2 linked regions of the Caenorhabditis elegans genome follow. The protein of the gene in region 1 purifies or fractionates together with the protein of each later gene. This does not show direct contact. Each region holds a gene or a part of one and is shown on either strand. Other genes may lie near its edges. The genes, in order: ttbk-7 and gba-4.

Region 1 (8,787 bases):
AAGTTTCGATTTTTTTCAATGCTGTTAGATTTTCAAAATCCTTCCAAAAATTGCAAAACATGAATGTTCAAAAAGTGTATCTTAGTACTTATTGCTCAAAAAAACTCACCCTTCCATTGCTCTCAACACTTCTCCTTCTCATCCTCCGTTCTCGTCTCCGTTCTCGTTCTTCAGGTGATTCAAATGCATTGAAAGTTGCACTAATCCGTTGAGTATTCTGACTATTATTGTGAACTCCCATTGATGTTGAATGCCTCATTCCATAACTATTATCCTCATTTCGATGATTCATTTGGTATTGATGAGCAGGTACTGGGGCAGTATTTTGTCGATTCGCAGTCTCATCAATCGAGGTTGTCCTTGATAATCGACTACCGACTCCAAGATTGTTAAATGACTAAATTTTTCAAAAATTTATTAGGATTGTTAAGTTTGAAAAATGGATACTTACATTTATTAATCCTTTAAAGTGACTAATAATACTATTTGATTGAGGTGCTCCACAACTTGCTGTCCTGTGTATTCCACTTCTATCTTTTTCAGATCTTGATAACCGGCGTTCTAAAATATTTTAAATATGATTCTTGGATTCAAAAATATAATAACATACGTTGAATTGGAGATGCTCTTGGGTTCATTGGAGATGATGGTGAATTTCCTCCAGGTGATGTATTTGAATCCATTGATCTTGGAGTTGATAGTAGAGATGCTTTTGGTACAGCTGAACATTTTGAAACTATAGTTTCAAGGGTTTTAATAATAACTTACGGAATGCAGGATTTAGCCTCCCATGTCCCCGATCTTCTGCATCTCCACCATCCATCATTTCTTCGCAACTTGCATCAAATGATCCTTGCCATTTACTCATTAACGTCTGTTGTGTCCTTACATTATTTGCAGAGTTTTCATCCATTTGAGCATTTGTGTTATCGAACGATGAGATCTTGTTGGTTTTTGCACCAGATTTATATCGATTGTTTATGGACAGCTGGAAATTAGATTTGAAATGTAGTATACTTTAATTATACTTTTCATCTTTATAAATTTGTTTTATGAAATGTCAAAACTACGTTCAAAATATTTCCAAGACTCACTGTTATTGATTTATTGCTTCTGGTTTTATCCACAGGTAAACCGGCAACTCTTTTGATAGAAAGTGATGATTCAGCAACTTGTGGTTGTGCTTTCAGAATTGAAGATGGAAGTTGGAAGTTTGCTTCAACATCCGCTGTTCCACCTCGATATTTTTCATCGTCACATGCCGCAAATCTGGCGTTTACTGCGTCGATAACATCCAAATTGACAGTTCCGTATTTAGGTCTGAAAATTGGTTTTTTTTCTCAATGTTCTATATGAATTTGAGTAAATTACTTTAGGAATTCGTGTCTTTTGTATTTTGGTTTCTCCGCCGCTTTTTCGTGTGTACTTTCGAACCCCGCCCCAAGATTAGCCATTTGACCATTCGTTTGTTCGTCTTCGTCCTCACCCATTGTGATTGGAGCCTGAGTATCGAGAGCTCTGAAACTCAGGAGTAATGAATGGAAGTATTCTTTGAATTCAAAAAATCTACCTATTCTCGTTTCGTTGATCTTTGATGACTGCAGTCGTATGGGATTTCAGCCTAGCAGACAAATTCCCATTCGCCTGTTGTTTTTGCCGTGTCGCCATGTTGTCGTATCCTAATTCCCAGTCGTACGGTTCGTCCCAACTGATCTCATTTCTAGAAAAATACATTTTAAGAGTTTATTATGACAATAAGTGCATCTGCTATAATATGGGGTCATCTAAAACATTTTAAAAGGCAGTAAGCACGCATTGGGAAAGCGTAGGTCGCCTTAAAGGCATCAATTTTTGTGACTAAAAAACGGTACTTTACATCGAATCAAAATTTTCAACGATTTTTATGGAAGTCAACTGTATATTTTCAAAAACTCACTCAGCGACAATCTTATTAAGAAGTGATTCCAAGTATACATAATCAGGCGTATCTGCATATCCTAAAACTTTCAAATGTGCAACAAAAAGATGCATTTCATGTGGGCAATCATCTAGAAGAACAACCAAATCGGCTTCTTCCTTCATTTTTCCCACTTCATCCTTGTCCTTAATCTTTCGCCATGGTAATTGTCCTTGTAAGAACTCAGTGAGCATATAAAAAAGAGACCAAAGATCGTCTTGTCTTCCCATTTCTTTATTTTTATGAGCAGTTACTGCTGCATATCGAACTGTTCCACGGAATCCAGCTGCACTTCGAGGACTTCTGATTTCTCCTTTTGCATTCAGATATTGACGAGCGAGACCGAAGTCAAGCATATACACGTTTCGCATTGTTTGTGATGTGCGTCCCATTGCAAAGTTGGACTGAAAATGATTAATTTACAGATTAATATTTATTTATTTCAGACATCTATTTTTTAAAAATAATTTTGACTAAAATTTCATTAGGCCTTAAGATAATAGTTTTTGCAAAATCAATTTCTCAATTGTTTTTTTTTCAAAAAAACTTCAAACTTTAACTTACTGGTTTCACATCTCTGTGCAAGAATCCAATTGAATGAATTTCTCGAATTCCATTCAAAATCTGTATTCCAACACGAACTGCTGTACTCAAATTAAAGCACTGTTTCGGTGCTTCTCTTCTCAAATCAGCCAGATTTTTTCCTTGCAGACTCATTACCAAATAATTGAATTTATCGTTTCGTCCGCACCCGTAGAATTTACACGCGTGTTTTTTTCCTGAAACAAGGAGGTTTTATATCACAGGTTTTTATTGTGTAAAACGATTTTGTTTTCTCATTTTCCGTTTCTTTCAATATTTCTCAGAAACGAGATGCTAAGATGCCAACGAGACAGGCGTAATTAGATTTTTGATGACGGCTTGAAAAAAAAACTAGGAAAAAAAAAGCGAAATACGTCATAAACAGCCAACAAACCTTGAAGTCGTCGAAGAACTGCGACCTCCATTTTGAGCACTTGCTTTGTTGCTTTGCTTGATTCGACCTGAAAATGAATTGATAAAAAAAATGGTTTTCAAAATTTAAAGAAATTTAATACATGTGCAGGAAAATTAGGGTATTTCTATTAAAAAAGCAGACATTTCTCTCAAAAAAACATCCTAAAAATACCTTGATCGCTACCCGTTCATGGTGATTTTGAACATCTGTTGCTTCGTAGATTTCCCCAAATCCACCACCACCGATTTTCGCTTTCTGAAACCAAAACTTTTAGTTTCCGTAGCTTGAAACATAGAAACTCACTATTTTCCATCGTTCTCTGATGACCTGTCCAACTTGAAGAATTTCTCCTTCTGATGATGATGTCATTATTTCATCTCTGAAAATTTAAATTCAATAAATAAGAAAAATAAATGAAAAAGAGAATCTTTGAACGATGAAACGGCTATCGGACCGCAATAAGAAAAAAGCAAAACGAATGGGGAAGTGGTTGATGAGAATGGCATATTTCGTGAAGAGATGAGAAAAGTCGAATGGAAAACAGATGGGGCGCAAGAAAAGATGAAGCTGGACGAAGAAAGAAGGCGGTAGGAGGGAAAAGTGACAAATGCACCAAATATATTCTCTAAAATGGTTGGGGGTAGACATGGAGAAGCTGTGGGAGCAGCACACACAAAGAAAAAGGAGCGCCTTCTTCAAAATGACCAGCCGAAAAAGTATCAAGAGAGGCAACCTTGGAAGAGCTTTGGAAAATCTTCGAAGAAAGAAGGAAGAGATGTCCGATGGGGCTCATAAATCTCGCCGCGCATTGCCGACGTGTCACCTACTACTTTCTTCCATTTAAAAACGCATTCTTCCCATTTTGGAAGTGAGTCGGGTAAATAGAGGGCACTATGTATGTGGCACCAAGCAAAAGCTTATTTGATTTATACGCTCACGATTTGTCAAGTTAAGTTGCCAGAAATTACCATATGGGGGTTATTTAAAGTATTTTACGAAATAAAATTCTAAAGTAAAACATTACGGAAATGGAAATCTAAGAGCCGTCGAAATATTTGAAAACAAAATAATTTCCACAAACAGACAGAAAAAAAAGGAATTAGTTTCTGATACAAAGTTCTTGTCCACATTTCGGCAATGTTTTGAAAAAGCCTAATAAAGTTTAATAATTCCGGAATAAAGCGCTAAGTTTTTTCTTTTTTGGCCCAGTTTTTTTCAAGCCAAATTTGGGCAAGAAGCTAGCGCCAAATGCAGATAACTTCCACGAACTGTCCATGAAACAAAAATCGTGAAAATTCGAGAGAAAATCAAGAAAGTAAATTTAAAACAATTTACTAACTGCTAAAAGTATTCAGAAAATTATTAAACATTTGTTTTCCGATCATCACATTCAATTTCTTGTTTTTATTCTCTTGAATGTCATCGGAAGAAATGAACAAAACGATATAAATATAAAAACGAAATCGATAGCCTCCCCCCCCCCTGTCGGGACAAATCTCGAGAAAGAGAAATGCCCGCGTCCAGGAACAGCTGACATTTATTCTCCCGGATTGTTGAGCTAGAAGCTCCCGTGAGCCGCCTGCTCTTTTCCCTATCTTGATTGACGTGGCACAAGGACTAAAATACTGAAAACTCCCACGATTAGAGGGAGGATGTGGTGCACAAGGTGCAGAGATGCAAATAGATTCGAAAATGGAAGAAAAGGTGAGAAATCTAAAAATACTTCTTTAATAAATGGTCATTGATGATGATGATGATGGTGAAAAGTTGAATATAGAAGGCTATAGAGTGCTATTCTACGTAAAAAGGACCCGAAGAACCGGCCGTTTTGTTTGGATGACCATGAATAAATAACATTGGTAAAGTAAATGAGAGACAGAGAGACATACGGGACTTAACCGGGAGAGAATGAGTGGAATAGAGGGTCCCCGGGTTTTGTTTGAATATATGAACCAAAAGAAGGGTGACAAGAAAATAGGAAAAGAGTGCGTAGAAAATAGAGAAAAGAGGGGTGTAAAGTGCATTAAGGGGACCAGCTATTCGGCCGTAAGTGAACGGGAAACACGGGTCAGGATAATTGAGAGCGGAACGAATCCATCGGAAAATAGGGGGAGGACAATATAATCAGAAGATAAAGATCCGATGGGCATCGGAACTAAAGAGAGAGAATGACATAAAGTTGAAGGTTGCGAAATGCCGGAAAATGAGAAAAGGATTAAAAGAGGCGCAGGGATTAGAGTCAAGCAATTTTCAGAGTTAAAACAACAGGGAGTAAGAACCAGAAAAAAACGAGCATTTATCACAATTGACAAGCTTGTTTTCTTTTTTGCTCAAGACCTCCTGAGGAAAGCGGAAGAAGAGGCAAAAGTAATGAGTTTGTTGCCTGATTATTTTGGATTTCAGCTGACAATATTGAACAAAATATAGTTGAAAGAAGGAACTATATATATATATATTGCAATGAAAAGAAAAAAACCAAAATAGTCATGCAAATATTAGACTTTTGAAGGAGAAGAAATAAACTGATTTTGGGAGAAACATACGCACCTTTGTATATTGTTCAGAGTTTTGAAAACTAACGGAAGAATTTTTTCAAATAAAAAACATTCAGACAAACGAAACAAATTGGCAGGAAAATAAGTACATAGAAATTCGTTTTTTTGCATGAAATTGATATCAAGAAAAGGAAGTTTTCAAGGTCACATGTCTTTCCTGAAAATCCCAACAAAAGACTTTTAAAAATCTTCTGGTTCTTTTTGTTTCTAAAAAATTATTTTAACTTTTCAAAAGAATTTTGAACAAACTTTAGCCTCGATTTTTTAGAATTTTCTTATAGCTAAAAATTTATATACAATTTTGCAGATTATATTTTTTTCAGATTTATATTTATGTTTTTTTTTAAGTTTGTTTTCAACGATAAACATCAGAAAAATCCAATTTTCAGTAAGCATTCTAAACTAATAAAATAAACATTTTAAAGATTTTCCGTTTAGTCATCATTTTGAATTTTCTCATTTTAATTTTCTAATATATTCCCCGATCACGACATTGTTCCTCAAAAGAGGAAATAAATGACAAAAATTGGAGCAAAAAAATGGATTAATCTAAAATAAGAATAGGCACGCACTTAAAATGGAGCCCACAAGCAATTAAAAGAGCATTCCAAGTGCACTCCGGAAAACGGTAAACCCAGCAGATTCCTATCTGATCAAATTGAACTTTCAGGAGATGTGGTTTTAGATTTAGAAAGTGCAATGATTCAGATGGGCTAAAAAGAAAAATGAGAAGCATGTGTAATTTGGATTCTAAAACTGTAAGCTTATCTCTTTTTTTTCTTAAAAAAAAGAACGATTGCTACATCTCATTAAATGCAAAAAAAAGAAAAATGCATGAAAAAGTGCAATGGATGGTCTTTTCGTCAAAAACGGACAAAGTGAGCAAAAGGATGCTCGTCATTTTTGGAAAAGACGCAACGGAAAGTGGAAGGATTACATATGCCGGATTAGGAAAATGGGAGGAAGAAGCAGCAAAAGCAGAAGACGATGACACGTCAGGACACTTATATGTATGCGGGAGACGACGACCGATGGAGCAATTAAATTGACAGCCGGGCGGGAGAGTTGAGTCGCCAGAACATATTGGGTTTCGCCTTCACGCTTCTTGAATTTCGCCTCTCCATACCAAATACGATGTGAATTCCTAATTCTAGAGCATGTTGGAAAAAAAACTGAAAACTGCAAACGAGAAGGGTGCTTTTTTTTAATTAGAAATTCCGAGAACATCGAAATATTTAAATGTGTGAATGGTAACCTATTTTAATTTACTTTCTCATAAAAAAAAATATTTAAAAAAATCAATAGAAAAGTTCAATTTTGAATAAAGATTTCATTGTAATCTTTTATTGTTTATTGCCAAAACAAGACCATGAAAAAAAGAATTACTGAAACTAATAAAATTTTCTGACTGTTTTTTTTTCTTTACGAAATTTCTAAAAAATTGAAATTAATCGAAAGTTAAGTCTCACGATAAAATGAATGCGTCATAGGTAGAGACGAGATAGGTTCAATCACTTGAAGAAAGAAGAAAATGAGAAACGAGTTGGGATGTGAGCTTTTGCTAGCAGTCAAATGGCGATACAATCGACGGATAACGTGATATTGAGAGGTTGAGGTAGTAGTGCACACATCTACATTTTGGCAGAGACAGAGGTCGACAGAGCACAGAGTATTAAGGTGTGCTCCCGAGCGGGAAAACTATGAAGCCAGTTGGATTGGTAGCGCCAAGCGTGTCTCCGGATACTCCGCGTGCTCCGCGAGCAACAATGCGCGAAAAATGTTATAGTTGACATTTCAAAGGTTACGCTTTTCTTCTTTGCATCAGCCTGTTTGTGAATTGTTTAGAAAAAATATAGTTTTAGAAATTCAAGTTTTACATTTTATGTTCCTGTTTAACACTTCAAAATTTTCTCATTTATTTTAATATTGCATGTATATCTTCCTATTTCACGTTCACCTGCCAATCTCTCAATACAAACAAACATATTTTGAAGTAAAATTTAAAGATTAAAATTCAAAAATGTAGTAGCATTTGGTTATGATATTTCAGTCCAGTTGTTTATTGAACAGAAATGAAATGTATTTGTTTACCCCTCGTACACTGACTACTTTTTCATTATCGGTATCTTGACGGTTGTGTTGTGGGAAATTTCAGAAAAAAAACAACATTAAATGTGTTTTTGTACAGAGTCAATTAATTTCAAACGTAAAATCAAAACAATATGTTTTCAATTTTGAGAAAAAAGTTTTCAAATATTTATTTTAGCGTTTCAGGAATAATCTGAGACTCATAAGCGAGAATTTCTTCCCTATTTTCCAACTAAGTTTTAACTGAAAAAGAGGCTAATGTAGTTTAACTAGGTTGAAGAATCTCAGATTTTCCTACATCCTAGTGCATCTTTAATGCAGAAATTTGATAGTCCGGAAGATCATTGAATAGATGACAAAGTTCAAGTAAGAATCAAAAATCTTCAATCACAGTGTATCTTTACAAAACAAAAAATATCGAATTGCTTTCAGGGTGATCATGGCAAGAAAAAAGCGAAAAGTTTGCAGAGTCTGGTGAACTCATACTCACACTCGGAACACATTTTCCCCAGAGAGAGAGAATACACAATGATTTCGTCTTTTTTCTAGCAGGAAGCAATGTCTCAAACGCACTAAATCCAATCGACTCTTTCTTTTTTTCTAGAGATTCGCTTTCTTTCAAGAAAATATTTTTTGTTTCTGGTGAGAAGATGTGTTTTTGGAACAATTTTCAAAGTCAATTTTCGAGGAGTCTTGATTCATATCGGTTTTAGTAACAACTCTGAAAAAGTTTTCTCTGATAAAATAATTGTTTGCCTAAAAATTGAGTTCTGTCATATTTTTAAATTTTCGGAAACTCTGAATATTTTTGAAATATTATATTTTTCGTATAACTTTGCAATAACCTAAAGTTCTCATAACAATCGATTTTCAAGTAAAGTGCTAATTTTTCTTTCAATACAACTTGCGGCTGGCGAGAAGTCGAGAAAAGCATCATTTTCAGCTATTCAGGTTTTCCAACCAACTTTTCTTTTCAGAACAAAGAAAATTTCGTAGAAAAAGGTATTTGTAGGAAGTGAGAAGAGAGAATGTGTGAAGAAAGAAAATAACAAGCTATCTGTCTCTCAATATCACCAGCAAAAACACAACACCAAATAGTGTGAAGGGAAGTTGAGTGAATGTGGAATAATGGAATAAAAGTATGAACAGAAGCATATTGGTGAATGAAGAAACACACCGATACGATTCTT
Region 2 (8,787 bases), on another chromosome or scaffold:
TTTATCCCACCAATAACTTACTACATTTGGCCAGTGTGGCAAATTAATTCTCTGATCATCATTAATCATAATCTTCAAATTCTTAGTCACTGGTGATGAAGCAAGTGCTGGTCCCAAAAGTTTCTTTATAAAATTTCGTTCCATTGATGCATCGAAAAAGAGTGTTTGCCATTTCCAAAGTGGATCAATTCCAGTTGTTGGCTCGTTTTGTGGTGTCAAAGACCAAAAGTCAATACCTTGAGCGTGATAGGCTTCGAAGAATCTTTCATTTTATAATTTTATTTTTTATTTCTTTGAAAATAAGAACTTACTTTACAAAGTACTGTGCCCATGTCTGATAGTATTTTCCATTCTGATCTCCCAATAGCTCTCCGGCACCAACCATTCTTCCAGAAGTTTTCATCCATCCTGGGGAGCTCCATGGAGTTGCAAATAGCTTTAATTTCCCTCCAGAAGCTGTCATTGCCTTCTTGATAAATGGAATTTTATACTGGAGATCTTCCACTGTTAAATTGAAATTTTTGAGATCAAAATCAAATTTAACGTCGTCATAACTGTACTCGTGAGTTGAAAAGTCAGTTGAAGCCATTGGAACTCGTCCAAAAACATACCCGAGACCTAAATTATTTATTTTTCAAGCTTAATCTTTTGAAAATAACTTACCATCATCGGAAAAGTATTGCTGAATAATTTGATCTTGCATTGTCTGTGGCAGCATCTTCATATTAATTCCAGCAGCATCAGTGAATGCAGCTCCAAATCCCATTACCGGTTGAAAACTTTGAGTTGTGTTCACATATACTTTTGTTTTGGCTACAAAAACGATGTATCATATCAACAATTGTTACAAAATAATTGTGAAACAGTAGAATAATTTTTTGCCAACTTCAAAATAAAAAAATATCATTCTCTAAATTCTAATATTATAAAGGTTTTTGTGTTAGTTGAGCGGTGCCTGCCTCTCTATCTAAGAGCCTGCCTACCGCCTATTTTGCATCAGTTTCGAACCAGAAGTTACTGATAAGCTTCCGGTGTATTCTGGAGGCAGGCAGACAGGAATGCAGGCAAGAATTCTGTGCCTTCATGGAACTTCCTATACAATTAACGTACCTGTAGAAGAAGTTGTATGCTTCAATTCACTTCTGTTCATTCTTTTTCCATTTCTTGATGTTGTATAGACAACTGCTTTCCCAGAAGTAACAGTTCCAAGTGGTTCAATTGTATCACAATACGTGGCATTGCAACGACAAACTATTCCATACTCTTTCTTCACTTCGGAGCAAGGAAGGGACTCTGGAAATTGGCTTCAGTTGTGTTTAGTTAGTTGGAATGGTTTTGGAAATTGTGCAGGACTACGTGTTTAGAAAATGTCTAAAGCTATTTCCAGTTCTGTAAATTGTGGTTATGAAAATTTTTACCATACGAAATACATATTTCAAATTTTACATTTCATAAATAAATTTGTTGAAACGGAATTTTTTAAAACTGTTTTATCCATGTTTTGCCTGCACATTGCAAGCAATGAATACAATACATTAATTACCGTATTTCTTCTATTAGTCTTGCATATGCAATTATGAAAAAGCTTTTTTTAAAGCATTTTTTCTAAAAAAGTTTCTAAAATAATTTTTTTACAGTCTGCTGCCCATTTAGATTAAAGGATACGAAAATTAATTTTGAAGAAAAATAGTTACGATTAGAAAAATATTAAATTTTGCATTTAGCAGATTGAAACTGAGTTATTTTCCTAAAAAAAATTATAACTGTTATCTGTTATCTATTAATTAAGGTTTGTTAATTGTAAACTCTGATAATTCAAATGTTTGACAATTTGAAAAAATCTGATACATATGTGTATAAGCGTAATGAAATCATTGCTCAAATATTGAAAAAAGATACTATTATCAATTCAATACCAATCCAAAACTCATATTATAACACAGAAACAGTAATTTTTTATTGGGATAACAACAAAAAGTTATGAATTTTTTCTTTTTTTACTTTTTTTTACCTCGGAGCAGTAGAAACTTTTCATGTTGGCAATTATGTTAAGATTGATGTCTACAATGATTTTTGAAATGACAAATTTTTTTTTAAATACCGTTTCACATAATCTTTAGAAGTCTTCAAAAAATATTGTTATCGTTGAATCCAATTTAGATGTAGCAAAACTGACGAATCCGAACTAAGAATTAGGGTCTTAATTTAATCGATTTCTGAGTGCAAAAGTCCAGATTTGTCCGTTTTAGTCACATTTGGTTCGCATTTATTGAAATTTTATAAACGCATTTGAGGACAGTTATATCTAATACATTTTCTTGTTCGCAACAGAATCATAAAAGTGTGGGATTTTAACAGATCATGTTGGAACAGAGTTTTTTTTGTGAAAATAAATATTAAAAAGTTGTAGCTTCAAATGCATTTTTCATGCTCGATATTTGTTTTAATTTGTATTTTTAATTTGTAAAACTTCTGTATCAACTTTCCACAATTTCCACATTTTGTTTAAAAAAAGATTTGTTCGAATTGCACGAATTAAGTAATACAAATACTAACTCAAATATTATACCTCGGAAACGGCAATATTTTTCAATGGGAATTTTTAAATTTTTTTAAATAGAAGTTATTAAATGATTATTGAGAATTCAGTTCCATTGAATTCAGTTCCAGTATTACTGTTTCTCAGTCATGATATGACAATTTGTCATATCATAACTGACTAGGGAGTGCTTTCACTATACGGTGCGATCGAGTAAAAGTAAACGTGTTATGCGATAGCTGGCATCTTAGGCTTTCAGAATCTGTAATTTGTTTCGGCGGAAGACCTCTGTGAGTCTGGAAATTTTCATCTGAAAATGTAGTACTGAAATCAGTTCATTTCCTATGGTTAACAGTGGATTTTGTCTCTGGCGCCAACAGAAGTCTCACCACAATGGTGGAAGGGCGAAATCATCGCTTCGGTGGTCGAGTGGTGAACGCGTTCGCCTCTTGAGCAGAAGTTTGTGGGTTCGGTTCCCACACATGGTTTAAATTTTGGCCTTTTTTATACAAAATTTTTAGAACGGGAAACAAATGTTTAAAACAGTTTTTTGAGGTTTTTACATTACTTTTTTGCTTTTTGATTGAACCACAATTACCCTGGAAACTTTTCAGAAATTTTTATTTTTTTCGAAAATTGCCACTTTTTTCTCCCATGAGAAAATTGGTTCCAAAAATTTTGTTTGAAATTTTTTCAAAAATGTATGAAATATTGTAGAGTGTCACGAATAACTTATTTTTCATTGTTTTCAATGACCGAATCACTGATTCTGATGCCGTATCAAGACGTTTTACCAAATCGATATTGGCAAAACATCTTGTTTTTGAGGCTCCATATCTCTGCAGAAAAAAATCGCACTAAAAGTGATCAACTAGAAACTTGTTAAACACAATGTGATCTAAAACTTTTCAGTTGAACACTTTTTTGTAAAAAATTTGGTTGCCAGGTTGGAACCAATTGATTTGAGCGTCATTATTTTTGAATATTCTAAATAGTTAAAGGTCTATATCTTGGGAACCAAATTTTTTACAAAAAAGTGTTCAACTGAAAAGTTTTAGATCACATTGTGTTTAACAAGTTTCTAGTTGATCACTTTTTAGTGCGATTTTTTCTGCAGAGATATGGAGCCTCAAAAACAAGATGTTTTGCCAATATCGATTTGGTAAAACGTCTTGATACGGCATCAGAATCAGTGATTCGGTCATTGAAAACAATGAAAAATAAGTTATTCGTGACACTCTACAATATTTCATACATTTTTGAAAAAATTTCAAACAAAATTTTTGGAACCAATTTTCTCATGGGAGAAAAAAGTGGCAATTTTCGAAAAAAATAAAAATTTCTGAAAAGTTTCCAGGGTAATTGTGGTTCAATCAAAAAGCAAAAAAGTAATGTAAAAACCTCAAAAAACTGTTTTAAACATTTGTTTCCCGTTCTAAAAATTTTGTATAAAAGAACCCAAAATTTAAACCATGTGTGGGAACCGAACCGACAAACTTCTGCTCAAGAGGCGAACGCGTTCACCACTCGACCACCGAAGCGATGATTTCGCCCTTCCACCATTGTGGTGAGACTTCTGTTGGCGCCAGAGACAAAATCCACTGTTAACCATAGGAAATGAACTGATTTCAGTACTACATTTTCAGATGAAAATTTCCAGACTCACAGAGGTCTTCCGCCGAAACAAATTACAGATTCTGAAAGCCTAAGATGCCAGCTATCGCATAACACGTTTACTTTTACTCGATCGCACCGTATAGTGAAAGCACTCCCTAGTGAGAAACAGTAATATTTTTTTAGAACTTTTCTAAACACTTCCAGGCACTTCTACTACTCACTTGCATCGCTTGAAAATCCATAAAACGCCAGAAATATTAGCAAAGAAACGGATATATTCAAAATCATGATAGCCTAGTCTAGTGTATTCCGTTAAAACCGGACACTTTCCAAGACTACTAATGAATAAATGATAAGAACAATATTTGAAGACACTGACCACGTTTTTATAAAGACTAATCAGTTGGAATATTCTGATCAAAAAATAATTGAAACTGATAAGAAATTATGGAAAAAAGAAGGGAAAACACATAAATTATTGGTTTCAGGCTGCTAACTATGCAGGACATATATAGATAATGACGGGGGCAATGGACAAATCATGGTATGATAAAGTTCGTGGTATGAGCGTGAGTGAGCTACATGTTGTCACCTATAGTGATCTGAAAACAATAAAGAAATTGGAACTTTAACATATTATTAGCAGGTTCAAAAAATTTTACCGTTTCAGTGTTTAAATTTAATTACGTGGGAAAAATTAATGTAATAACACTCTCATGGTATGCTTTTTACTGTCGTTTCATAAAAAAAAAACTTGCACAATTTAATGAGATTTCAATTATAGAAGAAGTACGAGTTGGAACGAACCGTTTTGATGCTTCTGTAAATTTTATTATTTTTTGAAAACTTTGTTAAAAGGCTTTTTTTTTATTTTGAACATTTATTTCATGCAAAATGAACTAATCAGTTAGGGAAAATTTTAAACCATTAGAAAAATAATAAATTTTTTATTAAGAAATCAAGGAAGCTCGACAAAACTGCTCTTCCTGGTTGGAGCGACAGTAGTTGGAATTTGAACGATGTCTTCACTTTTCTGAAAGTTTAAATTTTGCTGTAATTTTAGTGTTATTTAAATAATTTGAAAACTAAAATTTCAACTGAACCATAATAGTTCAGCATTTTGGTTCAAATCAGCAAGCAATTGTTTTAGTCACTTGAAAAAATTACTGTTTCACAAGTTTTACTTGATTTTCAAATTTCATTAGAAAATTGATCTCATCCTATAAAGCAATTTCAATGCACACGAACATTCTTACGGGTTGCTGCAGTTGGCATGATGACGTCACCGAGTTTTGGAGCACTTGGAACAGCTTTCGATTTTGAGCTAGTTTCTCCGGCTTTGAACTCGGTTCCGCTGAAAAAAATTGTTTTAAAAATAGCCAATATATAGATGAAGTCTGCTTTAAGATTTTTCGATTCAACTTTTTTTCTAAAAATGTGTAATGAATCTTTATATATTTTTTTCTTTTTTTCTTTGGAATCTATTTAAAAATTCTTGTAAGTATTTCGTACCTAAAATTTTCGTATTTCCTATTTCAAAAAAGTTTCACAAAAAAAAGTAACTTACTCTCCCTTCCACTCGTTACACTCATCAAACTGGCAGCAACAAAAAGTGGAATCTTTGGTTTGGAAATGGCATCCGGTCATCTAAAATTGATATAAATTGTCTGATGCTCAGAAAAAAATGAACCAACCGGACATTTCTCCTCCATACTGTGCTCATCGCTCCACGAACTGCATTCACGTCTGCAAAATTATTATTATTCTTGGGCGTAATGTTAAGCATGTAATGTTAAACAATTAAATTGAATGAGTTTTAAAGAACATGTGAAACAGAAAAATTTTTATTATTTGAGTTAAAGGAAATCAAGAAAAATTTCATTGTTTCTGTTTTACTGTTTCTGATTAGAAATTAAGAATTCACTTTAATTTTGTTTTACTATTAATAAGCTTGGATCTCAGAGAGATTTTTTAAAAGTTACACACAAAAATGAGCTTACATGTCACTTTTTGATTTACAGTTTCAACTAGAAGATATATTTCACCATGTTTGACTAATTACATTCTTTCGGTCGATAGGTTGACAATGGGCTAGAAATTACCAGAATACACAATTCTAAGTTTTTGCAACTTTGCCTGAAAGAAAAGAGCAGCCGAGTTTTCACTTTTAGTCGCTTTACATTTTCTTTGTAAATATAATTTTTACACACCTTTTTTGGAAACAGCAGCTATCATAAATCTCAAAAGATATGAGCTTTTCCTCACAATGACGTAAAATTACGTAAAAGACGGAAGCGCCTATTATGATTTGAATGATTTGAGCAAATAATCAAGCTCTCTTCGAGAACTGTCCGCAAAAGGATTACACAAATAAACGAGGGAGAAGCCATGACTGACCATGAAACAAATAGACATTAGCTCTTTTACCTCATTTCTTTAGTTTTCTTATCGATACGTTGAATACAATAATTCGACATTCCTCCGCACTCCTGCAAGATTTTTTTAAAACTTTTTAATTCGTTGGAAATTTTTGTATTTCATCTAGTATTAGTTAAAAATTAAATTGAAACTGAGTTTCACCGCTTTTTGAAACTCGTACTCTTCATTAGCATTTATTAAACAAAAATTTGTCGCGGTGAGACCTGGTACCGTATTTTCTGCCGCAAAAAAAAAACAAAGTTTCGCGTATGGGAAATATACACATTTTTTAAATATTAATATTTGTAAATAAAATTTAAATACCTTTTTTGAAGTCTGATCATTGCTATCCAATGCGACGGTTCCTTCAAAGCATCGGAGAGCAGAAACTGTAGAAATAACAGCTAAAATTAGTAGAAAACCTATTTTTGCTGTCATAGTTTCGAGACTGAGAGATGTTTGTTATGGGGAGAGATCAAGACGAGAAAACGAAAAATAAAAATGTTACACAAAACAGATGTGATAAATGAACATTCTGTTGGTTGTGTGTTTGTTTTTGAGAATTGACAAGAAAAAGTGGAATTTAAGAGTTCTGAAGAACATTACTCATTGAAAATAAAAACTAACTTTGGTTAAACTTCATGAAACAATTATTGGGGAAATTGTACCACACCTTATAATGAGATGATCGAGAAACAGTAATTTTTTTCTAGCTTTGACAAGGATTTTTATAAATGGCTTCTTTTCTGCAATCTCCAGGTTAACAGAATATATCGTTATTTATGGGTCTCGCCTAGAATTTTTCAACGTGACTTCATTTTTGATGTGGCCTAGAAAAAAGCCAGACCTCGGCCATTGACTTTTTACTTCATTCTTCTGGATCGTCATCTGAAATCCGAGGGAAGTAGTTTAAACAAGGCTTTCTACAGTTTCCAATTTGTTTTTTTACTTGAAAAAGTATATTTATAACAAGAAACTCCGAAAGACATTCCACAGAAATCTTGAAATTGCGAATCGCGATATCTTTTCAGGAATATGTTCCCATGTCTTTAAAAGCAATATCATATCTATTGCGTACCCAGCAGGGTGCATTAAATTACCCCGAATCGGTTGTCAATTCAATGGCCATCATAAAATTTATGTGCCCTCTTCCCCTAGCAGTGGGTCTCGCAACGAACACCTGCCTCTCTCTCACACCCTCTGTGGTGTACTCCACCTGGACTATGTAAATAGTTTGGTGGGTTTCTTTGGTTATTATTAGTTTTTTTCTTTTTCAAATTAGCCCAAAACGTCTATTCTTGCAGACGTTTTCTTGAAAAATGCTTGAAAAAAGGTGTACGGTAGATTGGTGCAATCGCGCCCCATCGCACATCGCGGGGATTTCAAATGGAAATCCCATTTTCTTCAGCTTTTTCTTTTTCTCTCTTAATTTCAGCTAATTTTCTCTTTTTTGATGTCTTTTCCTCATTTAAATATAATAAATCAATGTCTTCCTCAATTTTATTCTTCAAATTTTCAGAAAAATGTCAGACACACCGTCAAAGAAGCAAAAACGACGAGCAACGATATTTGTGACGGGTCCACAGAGCAAGAAGACTATTTTCGAAGGTGAAGAGATAAAGGAAGAAGGAAATCAGACAACGTTACAAGATGTGAGTCTTTAAAATAAATCTGAAAATTAAAAACTGTACATACAATTTTAATTTTCAGCTGGCCATTGCACGTCAACGTCTTCACAATGAGCTTGCCGTCGTAAACACAACTTCTGGAATCGAAATTCTCATGCAAATCGTTATGGATGAACTGGAAGTGGTGGTATGCTTGATCTTAACATTCTTTCAAATGAATTATTGTTTCAGCGGCATCGTCTACGCGAAAATGGGCAACGAATGCGTAATTTCTTTGGTGATGGAGCCGTTCAAATTCGTGCAATTCTCATTCGTATTTTCTCGAAATCAATAAGTTCTCGAAACATGCTAGAATATAAAAAAGATGCGAAAGTGATTCTGAATGAGCTCTGCGACCAGAATATCACGTACAAAATGCCAAGATACACACTGAACGACATGGAAGAAATATTGCTCACTGATGATTTAGAAGATGGAGTTATTCAACGTCGCTCAGAGAAATGGGAATGTCTTCCTGAAAGGCAGAAGCCGATGTTCGATGAAGATGAAGATGCTTTCTGTGAATTCAGAAAAATGAATGTTCCA

The links.
Region 2: the proteins of ttbk-7 (region 1) and gba-4 fractionate together in Caenorhabditis elegans (co-fractionation; one large-scale study listed by BioGRID). This does not show direct contact.

What each region holds. Positions count from the first base shown.
Region 1 is NC_003283.11:12,892,540-12,901,326, forward strand, and holds the start of ttbk-7 (Protein kinase domain-containing protein), read right to left. Parts: upstream 3,334-8,787; 5' UTR 3,324-3,333; coding exon 3,258-3,323; intron 3,210-3,257; coding exon 3,126-3,209; intron 3,001-3,125; coding exon 2,934-3,000; intron 2,737-2,933; coding exon 2,522-2,736; intron 2,362-2,521; coding exon 1,937-2,361; intron 1,721-1,936; coding exon 1,571-1,720; intron 1,519-1,570; coding exon 1,372-1,518; intron 1,321-1,371; coding exon 1,095-1,320; intron 989-1,094; coding exon 769-988; intron 722-768; coding exon 611-721; intron 562-610; coding exon 452-561; intron 398-451; coding exon 110-397; intron 1-109.
Region 2 is NC_003282.8:5,346,395-5,355,181, forward strand, and holds the start of gba-4 (Putative glucosylceramidase 4), read right to left. Parts: upstream 4,504-8,787; 5' UTR 4,445-4,503; coding exon 4,378-4,444; intron 3,028-4,377; exon of another isoform or gene 2,955-3,027; intron 2,536-2,954; exon of another isoform or gene 2,515-2,535; intron 2,328-2,514; exon of another isoform or gene 2,307-2,327; intron 2,168-2,306; exon of another isoform or gene 2,147-2,167; intron 1,902-2,146; exon of another isoform or gene 1,881-1,901; intron 1,427-1,880; exon of another isoform or gene 1,406-1,426; intron 1,294-1,405; coding exon 1,111-1,293; intron 823-1,110; exon of another isoform or gene 814-822; coding exon 664-813; intron 619-663; coding exon 312-618; intron 263-311; coding exon 22-262; intron 1-21. Other genes in the region: Y4C6B.7 (Activin_recp domain-containing protein), read right to left, coding at 5,115-5,189, 5,405-5,510, 5,724-5,803, 5,851-5,902, 6,584-6,645, 6,899-7,012; Y4C6B.1 (WH2 domain-containing protein), read left to right, coding at 8,098-8,226, 8,285-8,389, 8,434-8,787. UniProt on the Caenorhabditis elegans protein: Glucosylceramidase that catalyzes the hydrolysis of glucosylceramides into free ceramides and glucose. C.elegans contains specific sphingoid bases, which are unique or different in structure compared to the sphingoid bases found in other animals.